4 linked regions of the Schizosaccharomyces pombe genome follow. The gene in region 3 interacts genetically with the main gene of each other region. Each region holds a gene or a part of one and is shown on either strand. Other genes may lie near its edges.

Region 1 (5,672 bases), on a different chromosome or scaffold from region 3:
ATCTTTGTCCTCTGGTAAAGATCCATATTTCCCGGCCAATTCTTTCATATCGACTGCAACGTGGCATGGGAAGCCTAAGCGTTCAGCTTCAGCATATGCTTTTTTACTCCAGGCTCCGGTAATAATATAGTTTGCAACAAGAGATTTAGCATTGCCATTCTTGAGGGCATGGTGTGCATAAACATTATAAAGACAAGCGGCAAATTGTTCTGTACCACCGCCTTGCATAAATAAAATATGAAAGTTTTCGGGGATATTGTAAAGTTTACGAAAATTGGATTCAGCAGAAGTAACGATCCCGGAACCTTGCTTGCTGCGATGGGAAATTTCAGCGACACCCATGCCAAGGCCCTGGAAATTGACAAAGTCCTTTCCAAATTCCTCAACTACAGAGGTAATCATAGCGGCAGGACCGGCAGCAAAATTAACTACTTCCTCTCTGGATGACATTTTGTTCCGTGAGCTCAAGCAGAAGTATACTTAGAATTTAAAATAATCTGAATATCAATTTTCACAGGTATTACTCCAAAACTATTTATATGAGAGTAAAACTAATTACAATAGTAAATGTCGCCTAGAGAAATCAAAACCTGTCAACGTGATCCAATTATCAACTCCTATGATATGGGTTAAGAGGAAGTGAGTGAAGTCACTACTTCTTTTTTATACACACCGATGAGATCCCAAAAATGATAGCGTATTCGTTTACGCTTTGTCAATTTAATTCTTTTACAGTAATTTATATTTTAGATATCTCATTACATTAATTGACATTTCGCGTCTAAATCTCATATGTGGGAACTTCTACCTTTTCACTTCGTGGTTTTCGTACTCAACTCAAGCCCCAGAAAAGACCGGTTTATTTTAAATTAAAAAACACCTAAATGATTTTAAGATCAATTGTATATTATGAATAATGACAATTTGCATGATAAGTTAACGATATGGCGCCAACAGCAAATTGAACTTAAAGGGATGTTGCAGCTAATTCCCAAATTTCAAAGTTTGAATGAAATAAGATATGTTGTAGGATTGGATATCTCTTTTGATAAATCAAGTCCAAAGGCTGTCTCAGCCCTTGTTATTTATGATTTAGAACAACGTATGATTATTTATAAAGATTATTTGTGCATTGAGAAATTAGAAGAGGACTATGTTCCCGGGTTTCTTTCATTTCGAGAAATTAAATGGTATTTGCCATTGCTAAATCACATTCCTCATCAATTTCGAATTGATATCATTTTAGTAGATGGAAATGGCGTATTGCATCCTGTCGGTAAGTAAGATTCTGTAAACAATCTATTTACTTCAAGGAGACACTCTCAATGAAGGATATTATTAATTATATCTAACTCAACTTAGGATTTGGATTGGCTTGCCATTTAGGTGTGTTGTTGAATCTTCCCGTTGTTGGCGTCGCGAAAAATTACTTACATTGCGTGGGTTTGACTGAAAGCTTAGATGCACATCGTGAAACTTTAAAGAAACACGTGCTAAAGAAAACAACTGATCATCCAATATTGATTCACTCGATTGATCAATCTTCTGAGATTCTGGGCGCTGCAGTATGGACAAGCAGTAACTCGAAACGCCCAGTTTATGTTAGCATCGGTAACCAAATGAATTTAGAACAGTCTATCCAACTCGTACAGAAATGCAGTAGCTCTCATAGCAGGGTACCGGAACCGATCAGGCAAGCAGACATTTATGCCAAATTTGTCCTAAGTCAATCGAAAAGGAATAAGAAAAATTAAGCAAAATCATCTTACGAGAAACATTACTTTGTCTACTTAGATATTCTGTGAGTATTTTAATTGACGGTTTAGAATTAGATTAATCTACAGGAAAGAGAAATAAAAAAGCGGAATTTGAACAAACGTTAAGCAACCTTTAATGGAAATCCTGTTGTATCATCCAAGCTTAGTAAAGGTCAAAAAATTACCGTTCAAGTCATATAAAGATACACAAATCTTTGAAATGAAAAAACAAGCCCAATTAAAACAGAAAGATAAAAAAACAAAATTGACGGAAGAAACTAAAATTCGAATCAATCTCTTTGAACATTTGTAGGACATGAAGGTGGAGGTAGTGGAATATCAGTGGGAGAGGATCTAGCAACTTGCTCATATGCAGGAGGACTGGGTCCAACACTATTGAACATTGGGGGGCATTCCTCATCCCAACTAACACCAAGACCACCTCGTTCAGTCAAAGGTAAATTGACCTTCATCCTTAAAATTCGGGCATTCGAGTTTATGGGATGCGAGTTCATCACTTCGACGACTATAGTCTCAAGAATTAGTTGATGGGCAATATATAGAGAGAATTGTCCATCAAAGGAAACATCACAAATAGGCTTTGAAAGTAAAGATGTACTGATAGGGATCTCGAAGATAATTCTATCGCCATCTTCTTTCCAACCAGACTTATGTTCATTATTTCCCAACAGCCGAGTCTCCTTGAAAATGTATGGCTTTTTTGTCCCAGTATGGGTCGAGCAACCATTTATTTGAGCTTTTATCTGTTCTTCTATTCTCCACGAAATCTTCGTTAAGCGCCAACCAACCTTGGAGTTTTCAGGTTTTACACCGGTCAGCTGAAATTCAACAGGAACACAACTCAAAGGGTGAATTACAGGAGGCAGCTCTAAAAGAGCAATAAGCGAAGTAGGGGGGAAGAGACGCTGGGCAATTTTATCAGCATTAGTGACAATAGAGCGTTTCAAGTTTAAAGGATATTCAAAAACAAAATCGGGTTGACTGGGAATCTTAACGCGAGTTTTTAGGATGTAAGTAACGTTTATGAATGGTGAGTTGGTCGTTTGTGGAAAATGTCCAGGTATTATAAAAGTGAATGGCCAAGTATGTGTACCATGAGTATATACGGTAGGTTCTTTAGAAAACTCCCATTTCTCAAAAGCCTCAACCTGAGCTTTGCAATCGGGACAGCTGTCGCGCAAAGGACGCTTTGTGGATATTATGCGGACGAATTCCATGACAATGGATTCGCATTTGAGATCTGCAGGAAATACAGTCAACTTGGCAAGTCCAGATGCTAACGCTCCACTAGAAACATCTGGATTCCCATACATTACCAAAGGAGGAGACTCCATCTGGATGTTGAGTTCGAAAGGTTGTTCTTCTGTTGAAGCATGCTGAAATCTCCTGACTAATGAAGGCATCTTGACGGTTCAGCTAATGACTTAGGAATTAAATATTAAAAGGAAAGAGTAGGAAAAAATGAATCTAAAGAACAAAGGGGGGCCCGATCAGAAGAATTAATATGAGATTGAAATTAAACAAACAGAAAACGGCTATGAAGAGAATGAAATATATTTTTTGGTAAAAATTTTAAATTAATATATATCCTTAACAGCTTCTGAGGTTGAAAGCGACAGCACAAGAGATGAACTCAGGTTTTATGTAGAACGGAATAGGGATTATCGAATTTGGAGCTTACTCCTTAAACGTTTGATCAAAGATAAGCAATTGTGCTTCAATTTTTTTCAAATGATATAAAACAATTGAAAAAACAACTTCCTCTCAATAGTAGTTCGAAATGGAAAAAACAATTAAGTAGCGTTGAATGTGTTTTTCTATGCCAAAATATTTACTCAAATCAATATACAGGAGCCTTTTTTTAGCGTCCAAAGAAATACTTTGCTCACTGTAAGCAGAGCGTAACTATGAATACAGTGCATATAGCACCTCCCTATGAAAAATATACTAATGTAGTAAGAAGAGAAGGTTTTTGCAAAGGAAGAATAGGAAGTGTAGTCTGCATGCTCCCCAGGCCACTGAATGCGAAGGTTTTCAAAGTTTGTTATCTACAATCTTACGTAGCTGTGCGTATCTCAAGCCGACCTAAACAAATCTCGTTATTCCAAATAATATTTATTTTAAACAGTTATCATAATTCTATATGATAATAATCCATAGTAACTAAGCTGTTTTATATGTATCTGAACAAAGGAATAGAAAAAATAAACCCAGTTTCCAAGTTTTTCTTTCTTTTATCCTTGAACATATGTATGTTTAATTCTTAAGATATTGCTACCTAAGGATTTGTAATAAAAAATACGTTATGATAAATATTAAAAAAATAACACATAAATAAGCATATGCCTCTAGAAGCCTAACAAATTTATGTTTTTTATTGCTGAACTATTTTTTTAAAACACATGCAAAAAATGATTTGCCGATACTTTGAAGCCGTCACAGCTGTTTGTTGCAACTGAATACACTTTCCTCAATATCGGAGTTATTTCCGGCGATCTAATCGACGTGATAACTGGAGAAAGTTATCATATCTTATCATTTGTAATTCTAAAAGTAAAATCGATCAACTCATAAAATAACATTTCACTTTGCTGCACTGTAGATTTTTCTTATCAAATCTATTGGTGTACTAAACAGACTAGCTAACGTTTGCTGATCCGATCGACTATAGCAGCACACTCACTCTCTATACCATAAGACGTTGCCGAACCGACATCTATCGTCATTCAAATAATCTTTGGATTTGGTAATTTTAGTCGTTTACATACGCTACTTAGTATTTTTTTGGATTTTACGCTTTTCTACTAAAGTATACGAAAATTAGACTACCTTTCGTGAACAATATAATTGACCAAATCTTAGAGCTGAAATTTTTTGAGAAATATGTCTTATATGCATTCTTTAAACCTGATGCTGCAAAATCCCAGCGGAATTGACAAAATTGCTGCCATTCTTGTCAACGTTGCGAGGTTGGATCCAGCATCTTCGAAATCAACTGCTCAACTGGTTTCTATGCTAAATGAATTTCGATGTATTTTACGTCTTCCTGGTCTCTACAAATTAATCGTAAATTTTCGTAAAGATTCTTCTCCTGAAACTTACATGAGTAACGCAATCAATATTGGATACTATGTCACAGAAGGATTGGCATTCTTAGGCGGCAAACAGATTATTTCCATATCAAAACCGTTGGAAGACAAATTATGGCTTTGGTCTTCTAGATTTTGGCTTCTCGATACTTTATTGACCATTTACCAGCTTTTGCGTGAAAAAACAGAAGACGAAAAGGAGCATCAGTTAGACTTAGCTTCAAACTTGGCTAGCCTTCCTTTGTGTATTCACTGGTCTGTAGAAAATGGAGCTGGTTTACACAAACACCAAATTGGAGTTCTTGGTCTTTTCAGCGCAATTGTACAAACTAGAAAACTAATCCTCTCTTTGCACAATAAAAGAGCTTAGTTACGAATGAGCTTTTTAAATTTAAATAGAAGTTACTTTTTTCATGTAATTCTATTCGTGCTCAACTATTTTTCGTTTTCTCGAATGTCTATGTGAGTAAAGTAGTAAACAAAAGTGGTAACAGTCGTCTTGGTTTTTTCAGCAAAAATCGAAATATGCCATTCTAAATGAAGGGACTGAATCGGTTTAAAGCTTGAAAGGTTTTAGAAATGAAGTCGATTTTAATCGTTAATCCATTCCATTAAAGCGTTTTAAATTTTGGGATATTGATCGAAAATTTAATCAACGGAAAACATTAAGTTACTCTTTGTTTGTCACCAAAATGTACCTTGTCATTTTTTTCTAATTGAACTGAATATCTTTATTAACGAGTGTTTTTAATGGCCCTGCAATTTCAAATTGAGGATGTACGATATCATACTTTTAAGTATATCA
Region 2 (4,071 bases), on a different chromosome or scaffold from region 3:
AGATTATTATTAAGGTCAATCTCAATACTGTTTCATACAACGATGAATGATTAGGACATGTGTCATATAGTGATACTCAACGTAGTGTATCCTTGAGTAATGTATTGTTGACAACACTACTTATTTATCCCACAGTAAACAATGTAAATAAAGCGCGAAATTGTTGATCGATGCAAAGGTTAAGGTAAAAAGGGTTTTCAATGTAGCTAGGAATCCGGGATTTACTCACTTATTATACCATTTGTAGCATACTAATCATATTGAGTTAGCATATAATATAATAACAACGAATGTTTGACAAGGCCACTAGCGACAATTGTATAATACGTGAAAACAAATCACTTTAGTTATTTAAAGTTTTCTAACATAGGAACATTATTAATTGTAATTACATTTAAAACTTTTGAAATCTATCACAATAAAAAGCGATTGCAAAAAAAAAAAAAAAAAAAGGAAGCAACACAGATGATGTGCATTGTAACAAATAGATCAATTACGGTGAACAACTTTAATACAATACAACTAACAACGATAAAACATTCATTTGAAAAGGGGAACAATTTTTTTCATTCGTAACAAAAATAAAGCAAATTATTCATGAAGTTATAAGGGGCGTAAAAAACTTTGGAGTAGGCCGAAAAGGTTGATCATTAAATCACTAGATTAACGGGAAAAGCTTACAACTTTTTTAAAAAAATAAAAAAAAGGAAGAAAGAAAAAAGGTAAAAAAAGTTCCAAGAGGAAAGGAAGCACACGAAATAAAAGACTACTATAGAAAAAAAAACACTCAGGACATTAATGATCAATGAAGAAAACCCGCTTAAAAATTTCTTTTCTTCTTTTGGATTTACTAGGGAAAATTGAAGCTGGGGATAAAAATAATGCCTATGGATGAATGTCGGTCAAGTGAGGACTATGACGAGAAGGGGGTAATCTAAAACGCTCGGTCCATCCAGTTTGTTCTTGCCATTTTTGTGAATAGGAGTCAACGGCTTTAATAGCGTCAGCAATTTGAGATGGATTGAACTTCTTTGACATGTTGTGAATACTCTCATCAGGTCGCAAAGTAGCTCTACCTACCATCAATAACTCTTCATCGGTTACGTTGGGAATACCAAGTTCCTCAAGGGTAATGGGAAGATGACATTTTGCCATAAAAGAAGCAAGATTATTGAAGTCTTCCAACGGCCAATCCTCCAAAACAACTTGAACTAAGGTACCGTAAGCAACCTTTTCACCATGCATTAAACGATGAACGGGACCGTGGATGGCGGTCATACCGTTATGGATGGCATGAGCAGCAGCAAGACCACCGTTTTCAAAGCCTAGACCAGACATCAATGTGTTGGCCTCGACCACGTTCTCAAATGCCTCGGTACAAACACCGCGAGTGTTGGAAAGAATAGCGCTCAGGGCATACTTTTCAAGAGTGTCTTTGCAAGCACGGGCAATGTAACGGCCAGCAATGGAGGCCACACCTCCGGCAAAGGAAGTGGAATTTGAGCGAATAACGGATTCAGTTTCCACCCAGGTGGACAAAGCATCACCAATGCCACTAATAAGGAAGCGGACGGGAGCGCGAACAATCACATCGGTATCGATGAAAATGAGGTTGGGATTAAGGGGGTAAAAGCTGTATTTTTGGAATTGACCGTCAGGAGTGTAAATGACGGAAAGAGAGGAAGTAGCGGCATCAGAGGAGGCAGTAGTAGGACAAATGATGGATGGAAGATTCATGGAATGAGCAATATACTTTGCGGAATCCATGGTTTTACCACCACCAACTCCAATGATGACTTGAGTATCATCAGGGCACTGTTTGCGAAGTTTATCCAGTTCCACCAAGCTTGCCTCGCCGCCAAAGACCAGTTTGGTGACAGTCATTCCGTTTTGAGAAAGAGAATCGACAATTTTATTGGCACAAATGTTCCATACGTTCTGGTCGGCAAGCACGACAGCTGATTTAGTGGCCCATTTTTTGACATACATATAGGATCTAGTGAAGGCATGACGACCCTGAACATACTTTTGAGGAGAGGTGAAAATGCGATCTTTGGATTCTTCAAACTCTACACCAACTTTGTGAGGCGTCTCCGTTTCAATAGGAGCATAAAAGCGTTTGCCCCAACGTTGTGCAACGGCATTGGAAGAGGCGAGCGCAAATACTTTAGAGTTCCTGTGGGCGAGGGAAACGAGAGGGAAGCGAGGGGTTGCAGCGCAAAGACGAGGACCAATCATTATGAAGGAAGTTCAAAGACTAGCTAAGCGTTACGAATAGAAATCGAATCAAATCGAAGAAAAGAGAAATACAAGAATAGGCGTGTGGAACGGTTCTTACCTTTCTTGAAATTTATTTCGATACAGAAGAATCCTTATTTAAAAAGAAAAAGGAAATAGGTAAAGAAGCACAAGTAACTAAGAAGGAGAGAAACGCAATGGAACAGAGGTCCAAAAAGAAAAAACAACTATATGTGTATATATATACTTGTTTGCGGAATCAATAGACAGTCGAAAGATCACGAAAGTTCCAAGAATGAACGGGATATATGATCTCGGCTGGCCAAAAAAAAAGGGATCGACGTAGTCAATGGTGATTGTCAAAACTAGAATCAGCCGATCGACGGTAAACGGGAAGAGTAGGAAGAATGAAAAGAGAAAAAATATTTAAAAATTAAAGCAACGAAAGTTGATTAAAAAAATAATTAAAGAAAAGAAAAAAAAACCCAAGTGGTAGTGAAAACTTGCTATGGTTTTATTTTACAATGGAAAAAGCAATTCTGTTAAAAAAAGAAGAGAAGAGAAGAGGTGGATGGATGGATGGATGGATGGGGGAAATATGGAAAACTGCGAAAGCAATAACCAAGAGCAAAGAATTCAGCGCTGCCCCTCTACATATAAACTTGATGAGAGGGCGATGACACCACACATATCCACCGCAATTGCCAGTTCCCCACTGCGGAAGCCAAACCCAAGCAGACAGGAAAATAACGTAACAAAAGATGAGGCAGGATAAACCCATGACTCGTTGGTCTCATAACTGCGTCATAGGGGCAAGAAAGACAACGTGGTATGCAGTACAAGACAAAAGCTTACTTGCTGAAAATCTGGGGAAATATATACAACAGCAGTCATTCGCCAGTTCCTTAATAAACGCTCGCTAAAATGACGCGACAAAAAATGAGGAGACAGGGATGAGCAGTGCCACTCAACGGCGAGGGAAAATGGGAAGAGTGGAGAGAAAGGCGGGGTCCTGCTACAATTAGAAAGCATTTGAAGAAAAAAAAGTGGATAAAAAAAAAACAAACAAATAAACAAACATTAAGAGAGACGAATAGTGGGGAGAGTGGTACAATTAGATTGTTTCTCCCCAAGATGGATAGATAATTTTACTGGTATCTGCCCCACCTTTTCCCATTGTCTCATTGAGATCCCCTCCATTCCAGCCCCAGCATTCTTCCTCTAGTCTGCAGTATGATTTCCCTGCTCCTCTTCCTCCAAAAGTTTTAGTGCCGACTTTAGATGATGAATGGCTGTCGTTGTGTCTTCGTAGTCTAATGCACTGTATGCATAGCGTGCATGACTTCGAGCAGATTGGATAGCCTCCAAGGCGGAAAACTTGTTCAAGGGGGAGGCTTTAGTCGGTTGAGATGGCCTTGATAGAGGGGCATTTGTTCTTGTTGTGGCTAAAGTTGACTTGCTGGAAAATGCTACTGACGGATCGATGGAGGTGGAGGTGGTGGTGATTGACGTAGGGGAGGGAGGCCGATGCCCATCTGATGTTTGCTTTGACTCAGGAGATAAACTTTGGATATGCGAGGAAGAGCGAGTGGAACGAGTAGGATCTATTGTTGGCAAATTTTCGGTTATTGATGTAGTTGAGGGGAACGTGGTAGGCTCATATGAATGGGAAGGTGAATTTAGTTGTGGAGCAGCCGGTGTTGAAGACAACGATTTTACGTCTGCTTCTACATTAGGCTCGGAAGATACGGCTGCAGACTTTGTAGGAGAGATGGAGAGCGATGCTGCTGGAGATGTAGTGGGGAGAGCAAAAGATGTTTCATGAGAAGCAGA
Region 3 (4,501 bases):
TTTGTTTGGAAATCGTTAAACAAAACATGAACGATTTAACAATAAATCCAAAATAATTAACTACGCAAACAACCATTAATTTGAGAGTAAAGTTCATACAAGAACTGAGACTCAAGGTACGCAGAAGTTCAAATAGCAAAAATACTTACTGAAGATACCGGTTTCATTATAGAGGGCTCTTGAGAAATTTCCGTTGAGCTGTTCATTGACATGATTGTATTAAAGCCACATCCGTTAGGAGTAATAAAAAGAAATCAGAATGAAACTCGTCAGTAATATTTAAAAAAAAGGTACTAAAATATTGTTTTGGTTTCCTAAGGAAAGCGCACTGGAGTAGCTCGATATTCTTGCAGTTATGAATCGTAACGTAATTGCGCTATCCAAAATATACCGTACAAGTTGCACAAATTAACCCTTCTATTTACTTAATTTTTTGCTAAATGAATTAGTAATGCAGCAATCTCATTTACTTCATAATGTCTTCAATTACTTACTGCTGATAGTTGATAGAGCACGAAAACAATGCCAGTTTGTTAATGTTAATTTATTACATATCGGTTGTATGCTGATGTTGCTGCATGCTGAATTTTAACACAGAGCGCATCCCTCTAAACTTCTCGACTATCATCAAGTCAGTCGTGAAGCTTTCAACTGAATAAACCTATGCAACATAATTTCAGCTTAAAAGCTATTAATTAGCTGATCTTAAGTAATACAAAGTAATATATCAAATCGTAACATCCAATTCTTCCCGTATGGTTTGTCTTATTTTTAATAATAATATCCTTATGATAAAACATCTACATGTGATATAAATTATGCAGAATAATAAGTGTAAATGGAACAGAAGCCATCAAATTACAGCAGCTCACTCAACTTTTATATCATTCTGTTAAGGTCCAAAGGTGACGAATGAGAAGAGTGATTAGTATCGTTAATTTCGGAAGTTTGGTTTTGAAGATAAGAAGGATCATGATGAACGACTGTCGAAGACTCTACCAAAGTAGGCGAATTCTGAATTTCTTTGGTTGTAGCCAATGTTTTAGTGGAAAAGGATGAAGAAGTTAGTGAATGGGCATGCCTGTGTAAAATTGAACTGCTTGGTCTCTCATGAATTGTTGCACGCGAGCGAGATGGAGCCAAAATGCGCAAGTTTGAAGGAGGGCGTTGATTTATTGACGAAGGAGGGCGACGGTTGATTGATGAAGAAGGACGAACGATATTAGCCGCTTTAGTACGAACATTGCCTGTAGTTGTCCTCGAAGAGAGAGTGGATTGAATGCGAGAAGGTGAACGAACACCTAAAGAAGTACCTGGACGAACGATTTTAGCTGATGAATTTTTCACATTAACTTCTCTCTGTTCTAATCTTGAGGGAGTACGCGCCTGCGCGTTACGTGAAACAGGTCGTACAGCTAATGAAGAAGCTACCCGAACAGTTGAGTTAGAAGTGGCAGAGACGTTGGGTCTTTGAGTATTGGACGCAGAGTTTTCTCTGAAGATTCTGGATCCCGGTCGGACAGTCTGAGCTGCACTTACAGGACGCACGATCTTGGTCGATGCGTTGACTTTTACTTTGGAAGGACTAGTAGAATTCTTTGAGATACTTCCGGAAGCATTTGTTACGTTAACTCTAGATAATGGACGGGTGGTGGAAGTCCTTGTGGGTGGACGAACGACAGAAGAATTTCCGAGAGAACGAACAGAAATTCGAGGAGAAGCTGAAGGCTTGTCGTTAGAGCCAGGAGATTTGACGACGGGGCTATCATCCGACTTTGCATTGAAGCCGACCTTTGGTGAGCGCACATTCGGGCCATTACCAAGGCGTGATGGTGAACGAACTGCCATTGAAGATTTCGCTCTCGGAATAGCAGCAATTCTAGCATTTGAGGACATTCGGGCGATAGACGACGTTGAAGGTTTTGTAATAGTAGCGACATGTTTAGAGGTCGTTACAGAAGGAGATTCCTTGGAAGAAATTGAATTCTCATGTAGTGATGCCTCTTTGGGAATGCGAGGTGCGTTATTTGATAACCTGGCCAAACTAGTCGAGGGTCGAAGACGTTGAGAGGGATTACGAATATTCCGAGCTTTGGCTCGTACATTATTAGTCTTTGAAGTAGGATTAGATATTTGGGTATTTCCTAATGACTGGCCTTGGGTAACCCGAGATTGAGAGGTAGGAACTGATGGTGAAGAAATGTTTACTTGCTGTAAAGAGGCACTTAATTTATCAATAGCCGAGGATTCCTCAGTATCCATTACAGAGTTCTCACCTCCATTATGAAGTTGTGAGGTGGTAGAATCCGTGAAAATCGACGTAGAATGCAGTTCCTTGAGAATATTCGATGTTTGCATTTGTAGTTGCTCCAGTCTTTGAAGCATATTAGACTCGGCCTCTGCCAAAGGCTCTTGGCTTGGTGAACCCGGCATTGGCAGAATAAAATTGAATAAGACTCGCAATCAACAACCCTGAATGCACAAAAGAGAAAGCCAAATACACTACACCGTTAGCTGGTATCGCCCAACACTAGGTAGCAATAACAAACTACGTCCTATATTGTTAGTGTATATATAACGAATTCTATTAATCCCCGTAAAACTCTTGCTACCTGATGCAAACAAATAAAATTACCTTCATAAGTGCTGCACTGTTTACATATTTTCTATCCAGCTGACCGATTCTTTTCAATATATGTATTCATTTGACCATAATAATTATCGTTAAATTGTGATTGCTATGAATATACTTTTCCGTTCCCTCCCAGATTTCTGTTCCCGTTGTTTTTCCAAAGCAAATCATTGATGGGAGAGAGCAATGTGAAAATTAAGATGCAAGTGTACAATGAGAATAACATGTACACATTGAGGAAACCCGCTATAACTCTTCTTCCACAGCATCATACCGATTCTACAAATCTCCCGTAGTGGTAAGTACTACGAAAAATGTTATAGTAGAAATATCATTTGAAGAGTTTGTTACCAACTTTTACGACTTTGGTATGTCGTTATTTGAATTAATAAAAGTGATAATGCTTTGTGTGCATTTTTGGGCAACTATCTAGTTTATTTGTTCATTCGGTTCATTCGTCTCCTATGTACCGAGGGAATGTCAAGGAGAGTGTTACTCCCAGTCACTGCTCAAGGTGTGCAAGTTACCTTCGGTTCCTTATTAAATTGACATCAAAGACGGTTTGCAAATGTTACCAGATATGGACGTATATATACATAGAATACCCCAATTAAGACTTTGAAATTCCGTCTTTCACTTTTTAGTCTATATCTATTGTTCAGACTAAACGCAGGCTTAACGCCTTGTCCTACTCCCTTCGCTTCATCTTGTGCTACTCTATTGATGAGTATTTATTAATTTTTCCGCTTTCTTTTGATTAATTCATTCAGCGGTTTGTTTTTGTTTTTCCATCCTTTGTTGTCTTTCATATCGTTTTATTTCGTTCCTTTTTTTTTAACTATCTCAATTGGGATAAGCTTTATTTTTCGTAATTGTAATAAGCTCTAAGAAAACGTTCCCTACTGTTTTACTTTTTTTTATTACTGTTCACTTTCTATTTCCTACTCACGGTTCTCTTGCTTTGCTTCCTTCGATAAAACTAAGCAAGTTTGATCCTTTATTTATTCAATTGTCGGCTTCTAAAACTTCGTCTGTTCGCATAATTTCATATCTCGTTAGGGTAACTTCTTTCGGACGGAACACTAAAGATTTCGTTTACTGATTATTTTCTGTTTACAGTCTGGACTTTATACCCATTTCTAAATAAATTAAACACCCGAAATATCACTACAACCCTATATCCCATTAATCCCTTGGCTATTTGGATTATCAAGCTTATTTATTATTCTCAGGTTTCTCTAATTTTGTGCATAATTCAAGTTTGAAAACATTTCGTGTAATTCAAAAAAAAAGTTTCCCTTTGTTACATATTTGTCGAATTATTTTCTCATTAAAACCTTTAATCCCATCACTTCACCTTTGATTGTGATTTGTTTCCATTTTACTTTTATTTTCTCTTTTTCTTAAAATTTATTACCATGCTTCCACATCAAAATTCCAGTTATACCCGTCAAGGCACTAATGATGCGCAGGCAAATGATATGCGCAGTCCATCGCAACTTCCTACTTCTGTCAACATTGAAGATCCCTCTAAGTTATGTATATCGAGTGAAAAATTAAATACCCCTATGCATAATCGTTCCCGTTCTGGTATTAAGAAACATACTTCTGTCAAGCGTTCTCGCTCCTTCAAACTATTTGATACACTTTTCTTTGGTATTCTAAGGCTCCGTAAGCAACGGATAAGGTCGGTTAAAAAGGTACGATCAATTTCATCTCCTGTCTTAATCAGTACTACTTCTGCCTTGGCTTTGGCTACTATTGAACAACAGCCAGTAATTGGGGAATGTTCGTGATTATTTTGTGCACATGTCAGCATAATTAAATAAATTCATATATAATGCTATCTTTTTGTCCAACTAAATTTTT
Region 4 (3,716 bases), on a different chromosome or scaffold from region 3:
CCGCAGGCGGCTCAATATTGGAACATGGCTACGACCGTGATAACTGGTGGGTAATTGCTGAAAAAAACTAAGTTTTGGAATGAAAATTGATCGTCATATCACCTTGATAGAACAGATTTTTCATCTTTCTTGAACTTGTTCTCAAAAAGTTGGAATATTTCTATTTTACCTTAATTACATAGTTTAAACTATTTTCGTTCGGAAAATGATTTTACAGATTTTTTTTTTTAATCTAACTGGTAGAAGAATTTCTGTGTTTTATGTCTCGATTATTAATTTACTGCGTTTAATTATAAAATGAAGCGATGAACTAGTCATTCCCAAGGGCGAAAAGCGGTCAAATGTACTTGTTTTCAAAAAAAAAATTGACGGTTTCTTAGTATGACAATAGTGATAATTTGATATCGATTGAAGTGGTTTTCTGTTAAATGATACTATACATCTGTGAATGGGTTGGAAATTAAAATGTTAATCTAATTTTTGTTAATAGTTTATTCACGTAGGTTAGTGAAATGACGGTTCAAAGGTTGCATAAGTATTGGAAATCGATGAAGTATGTCAAGCAAAAACATTTTGTAAAATGAATAAATTTCAAAAAAAAAATATTTTTTTTTAGAATAATTTGGAATAATCATGCATTTCTGTATATGTTAAACTTTTAATATAAATCTGTGCTTGAGTATGAAATGAATTATCTAAAAAACAGTGTTTGAATAAACGTGTCCCAATAATAATGATAAATTGTAAAAAATATGTAGGAATTATACAAAATTTATTAAGCCACAAATAGGAATAGTAATTAACGTACAAAATTTGATTTGAATTTAATAATTTAAATGCGACTAAGTTACTTGCTTTTCTATTTACCAAAACGAATTCCAAAGAGAAAAAAATAAGCAATTAATAGTTTGGCAAAACACTTACTGCATGAATTAAATTAATAATCCGACATGCATTAATAAATTCTTGGTTGCTAAATTCAAATAAAGAAGTAATCAGCAGTTCTTTGCTCCTTAGTCGAATGATTACTTTTTTTCTATTCCATTCACCTTCTATTTCGTATTTGTTATATTCATAAAGTCTAGGAAAAATATAAAAAGATTTCCAAGATCCTAATTATCTATTTAAAATTATTATGTTGATATATCGTCGCGTAATATAATTAAATCTTTTTTTATCGAAACCTCAACAAGCTTTGGTGGTTTAGTGGTATAATGAATCGTTGCCATCGATTCGACCCGGGTTCGATTCCCGGCCAAAGCATTATTTTTTACCAAAACAATTTTTGGATTTATTTTGATTTGTTTGAATTCAAGCACGTGGTACTCTGGATACCTAAAATATGTACAACTATAGATTCCAGTAATATATATATTGCAAATGACTGAACTCAATTCTTCAGGCGCTATACTGTGAATGCAATGTTTCTACGATTTTTTGCCATGAAAAATAACGATGCTTATTTACCACGATTCAAAGTAACTAAGCGTTTGGTTATATTCGCTTGGAATACCAATCTACATTACAATGAGGAGGCAATAATTGCTATGATATAAAGCTATTGTCAGAACCAAAAAGTCCTGAGTTTATGGGAAAGAGTGAGCTTACTAGTTATGTAAGATATTACACTCTCTATCACAAAAAAAAGCAAGTATGCGGTAACAATTCTTCGATTCCATGACTCTTTTTAATTGGCAAGTTGTTGTGCTTCTTCCGTCGGTCTAAAACAACTAAATTCTTATTTATTGACATCTTTAAGACCAAAATAGTCGCTTGTCAAATTCGTTACTTCCAAGTGCCACCATGTGCTTGTTACTTAAGAAAAATTTAGACAGTCACACGCTCCTATTTATTAAGGAAGTGTAGTCAGGTTAGCGAGAAAAAGTACATTTTTTCTGTTTTTTTTTATTTTTCTTAATTTTCTTTAATAATTTTTTTTAATTGTAAAGGAGTTGTTAAGATGGAGTCTGAATCTGTTCCCACCGTTCCTCAAACCACTCGTCCCGGTCCTCGATGCTATAACTGTGGTGAAAACGGTCATCAAGCTCGTGAGTGCACCAAGGGTTCAATCTGCTACAATTGCAATCAGACCGGTCACAAGGCTAGCGAATGCACTGAGCCTCAACAGGAAAAAACTTGCTATGCTTGTGGTACCGCCGGACATCTCGTTCGTGATTGCCCCAGCAGCCCTAACCCCCGTCAAGGTGCGGAATGTTACAAGTGTGGTCGTGTTGGTCACATTGCTAGAGACTGTCGTACAAATGGTCAACAAAGTGGCGGACGATTTGGTGGTCATCGCTCCAACATGAATTGCTATGCTTGTGGCTCTTATGGCCATCAAGCCCGTGATTGCACTATGGGCGTGAAATGCTACTCTTGTGGTAAGATTGGACACCGCAGCTTTGAATGTCAACAAGCTTCAGATGGTCAACTTTGTTACAAGTGTAATCAACCAGGCCACATCGCCGTCAATTGCACCTCTCCTGTAATTGAGGCATAAGTGCTTGCTATTTATAACCCTTTGTCGTGGTATGAAGATATTTTTTCTTTTTCTTGTCCGATTTATTCAAATTTGGCAAGTGGTCATATTCTTACAAATCCCTTGAGCGATCTGCGCATTTAGTTATATAGAAAGCATAATTTTACATCCTTCTCTTCGTCCTTATTTTTTCGCACACTTCTGAATTCATTTTTGCTTCGGATCCTTAAGGATATTTGTACTGAAGCCTGAGATGCACCACCTCATTTCTCTCCTGTTTTCTCGTCACCGCTAAAAGATGGATGTTGATAGATTAAATCCTTTTTGTTTCAGTTTATTTTTACTGTTGTAGTGGCATTTTTTTCCTATTATTTTCAATTCACGAGCTTGAAATAAAAAAATTTGGAATATGGGAATTCTATAAATGATAGAAATTCCTTGGTCCATTTGGATGATTTGTTTTTTTTAGTGCCATTATTTAATGGAACTTTTGGTTTTATATGACAACTCACTATCAATTTCATTTACGAAATGGGTTTTGGCGTTTTCGTATTTTTTGAGTAACTTAATTTACCTTATGTGTTTGTACAGTAAATGTTAATGCTCTGACTTATTAACAACTTCTCTACTTCTTAATCTCTCATGGTATCTGTATAACAATATTTACAAAAGGGTTCTGGGTCATTTGCCTAATTAATATTATTTTTTCCTTGCATTGCTTACTCTGCTTTTCAAAAATGAACTGTAATTGAAAACGGGTGAACGATAAATGTAACAGTTGTCATAGACAAAAAAAAATTTATTAACTTCAATTTTACTTTCATACAAATTTGACATCGAATTTGTCTATTACATAAAATCGTAGTATATTAATCCAAAATTTTATTGTTCACATAACTCAGCCAACTGCGCTCGAAACAAACGAAATAAACTTCTTGCAAATTCACCTTGAGAATGGTAAATACTCTTGAACGCTTTCTCTTCATCCCTAGCCAATTGAACATGCTCCGATAACCAAGAGGGGAATTTTTGACCAGGCCTGCTTATATATCCCACCCCTAAACGATCTTTCATAACATCAAATTTGTATCTACTTACAGGTTCATAAAAGTCAATGATTGCTTCTAAGCATTGATCACATATATTGGTAGCAACAGAAGGCCGGTAAAATGAGGTAATGCAATCTTTAAACTTAGTTAACTTCGGTATTCTATTGCAAAGCACACAACGGCCTACA

Evidence for each region.
Region 1: mutations in mmb1 (region 3) and any2 together harm fitness more than expected from each alone (negative genetic interaction), as found in Schizosaccharomyces pombe (one large-scale study listed by BioGRID).
Region 2: mutations in mmb1 (region 3) and gld1 together harm fitness more than expected from each alone (negative genetic interaction), as found in Schizosaccharomyces pombe (one large-scale study listed by BioGRID).
Region 4: mutations in mmb1 (region 3) and byr3 together harm fitness more than expected from each alone (negative genetic interaction), as found in Schizosaccharomyces pombe (one large-scale study listed by BioGRID).

The regions. Positions count from the first base shown.
Region 1 is NC_003424.3:3,810,631-3,816,302, reverse strand, and holds any2 (arrestin-related substrate adaptor Any2), read right to left. Parts: upstream 3,755-5,672; 5' UTR 3,182-3,754; coding exon 2,048-3,181; 3' UTR 1,755-2,047; coding exon of another isoform or gene 1,363-1,754; 3' UTR 1,277-1,362; coding exon of another isoform or gene 910-1,276; 3' UTR 558-909; downstream 1-557. Other genes in the region: ser1 (phosphoserine aminotransferase), read right to left, coding at 1-450; SPOM_SPAC1F12.06C (DNA repair endonuclease), read left to right, coding at 910-1,276, 1,363-1,754; SPOM_SPAC1F12.04C (uncharacterized protein), read left to right, coding at 4,662-5,237.
Region 2 is NC_003424.3:2,174,123-2,178,193, forward strand, and holds gld1 (glycerol dehydrogenase Gld1), read right to left. Parts: upstream 2,451-4,071; 5' UTR 2,239-2,450; coding exon 886-2,238; 3' UTR 519-885; downstream 1-518. Other genes in the region: vta1 (Vts1 family protein), read right to left, coding at 3,460-4,071. UniProt on the Schizosaccharomyces pombe protein: Glycerol dehydrogenase involved in the assimilation of glycerol.
Region 3 is NC_003423.3:2,608,159-2,612,659, forward strand, and holds mmb1 (mitochondrial microtubule binder Mmb1), read right to left. Parts: upstream 2,483-4,501; 5' UTR 2,386-2,482; coding exon 880-2,385; 3' UTR 530-879; downstream 1-529. Other genes in the region: BTB/POZ family ubiquitin-type ligase substrate adaptor Btb2, read right to left, coding at 150-212; SPOM_SPBC25B2.08 (uncharacterized protein), read left to right, coding at 4,051-4,428. UniProt on the Schizosaccharomyces pombe protein: Involved in the cell polarity process and in regulation of microtubule growth. Has a role in meiosis. Involved in microtubule dynamics.
Region 4 is NC_003424.3:2,246,727-2,250,442, reverse strand, and holds byr3 (translational activator, zf-CCHC type zinc finger protein), read left to right. Parts: upstream 1-1,879; 5' UTR 1,880-1,960; coding exon 1,961-2,500; 3' UTR 2,501-3,214; downstream 3,215-3,716. Other genes in the region: tRNA (uridine) methyltransferase trm9, read left to right, coding at 1-71; F-box protein Pof14, read right to left, coding at 3,362-3,716. UniProt on the Schizosaccharomyces pombe protein: Acts in the sexual differentiation pathway. Is required for efficient conjugation. Double-stranded DNA-binding protein.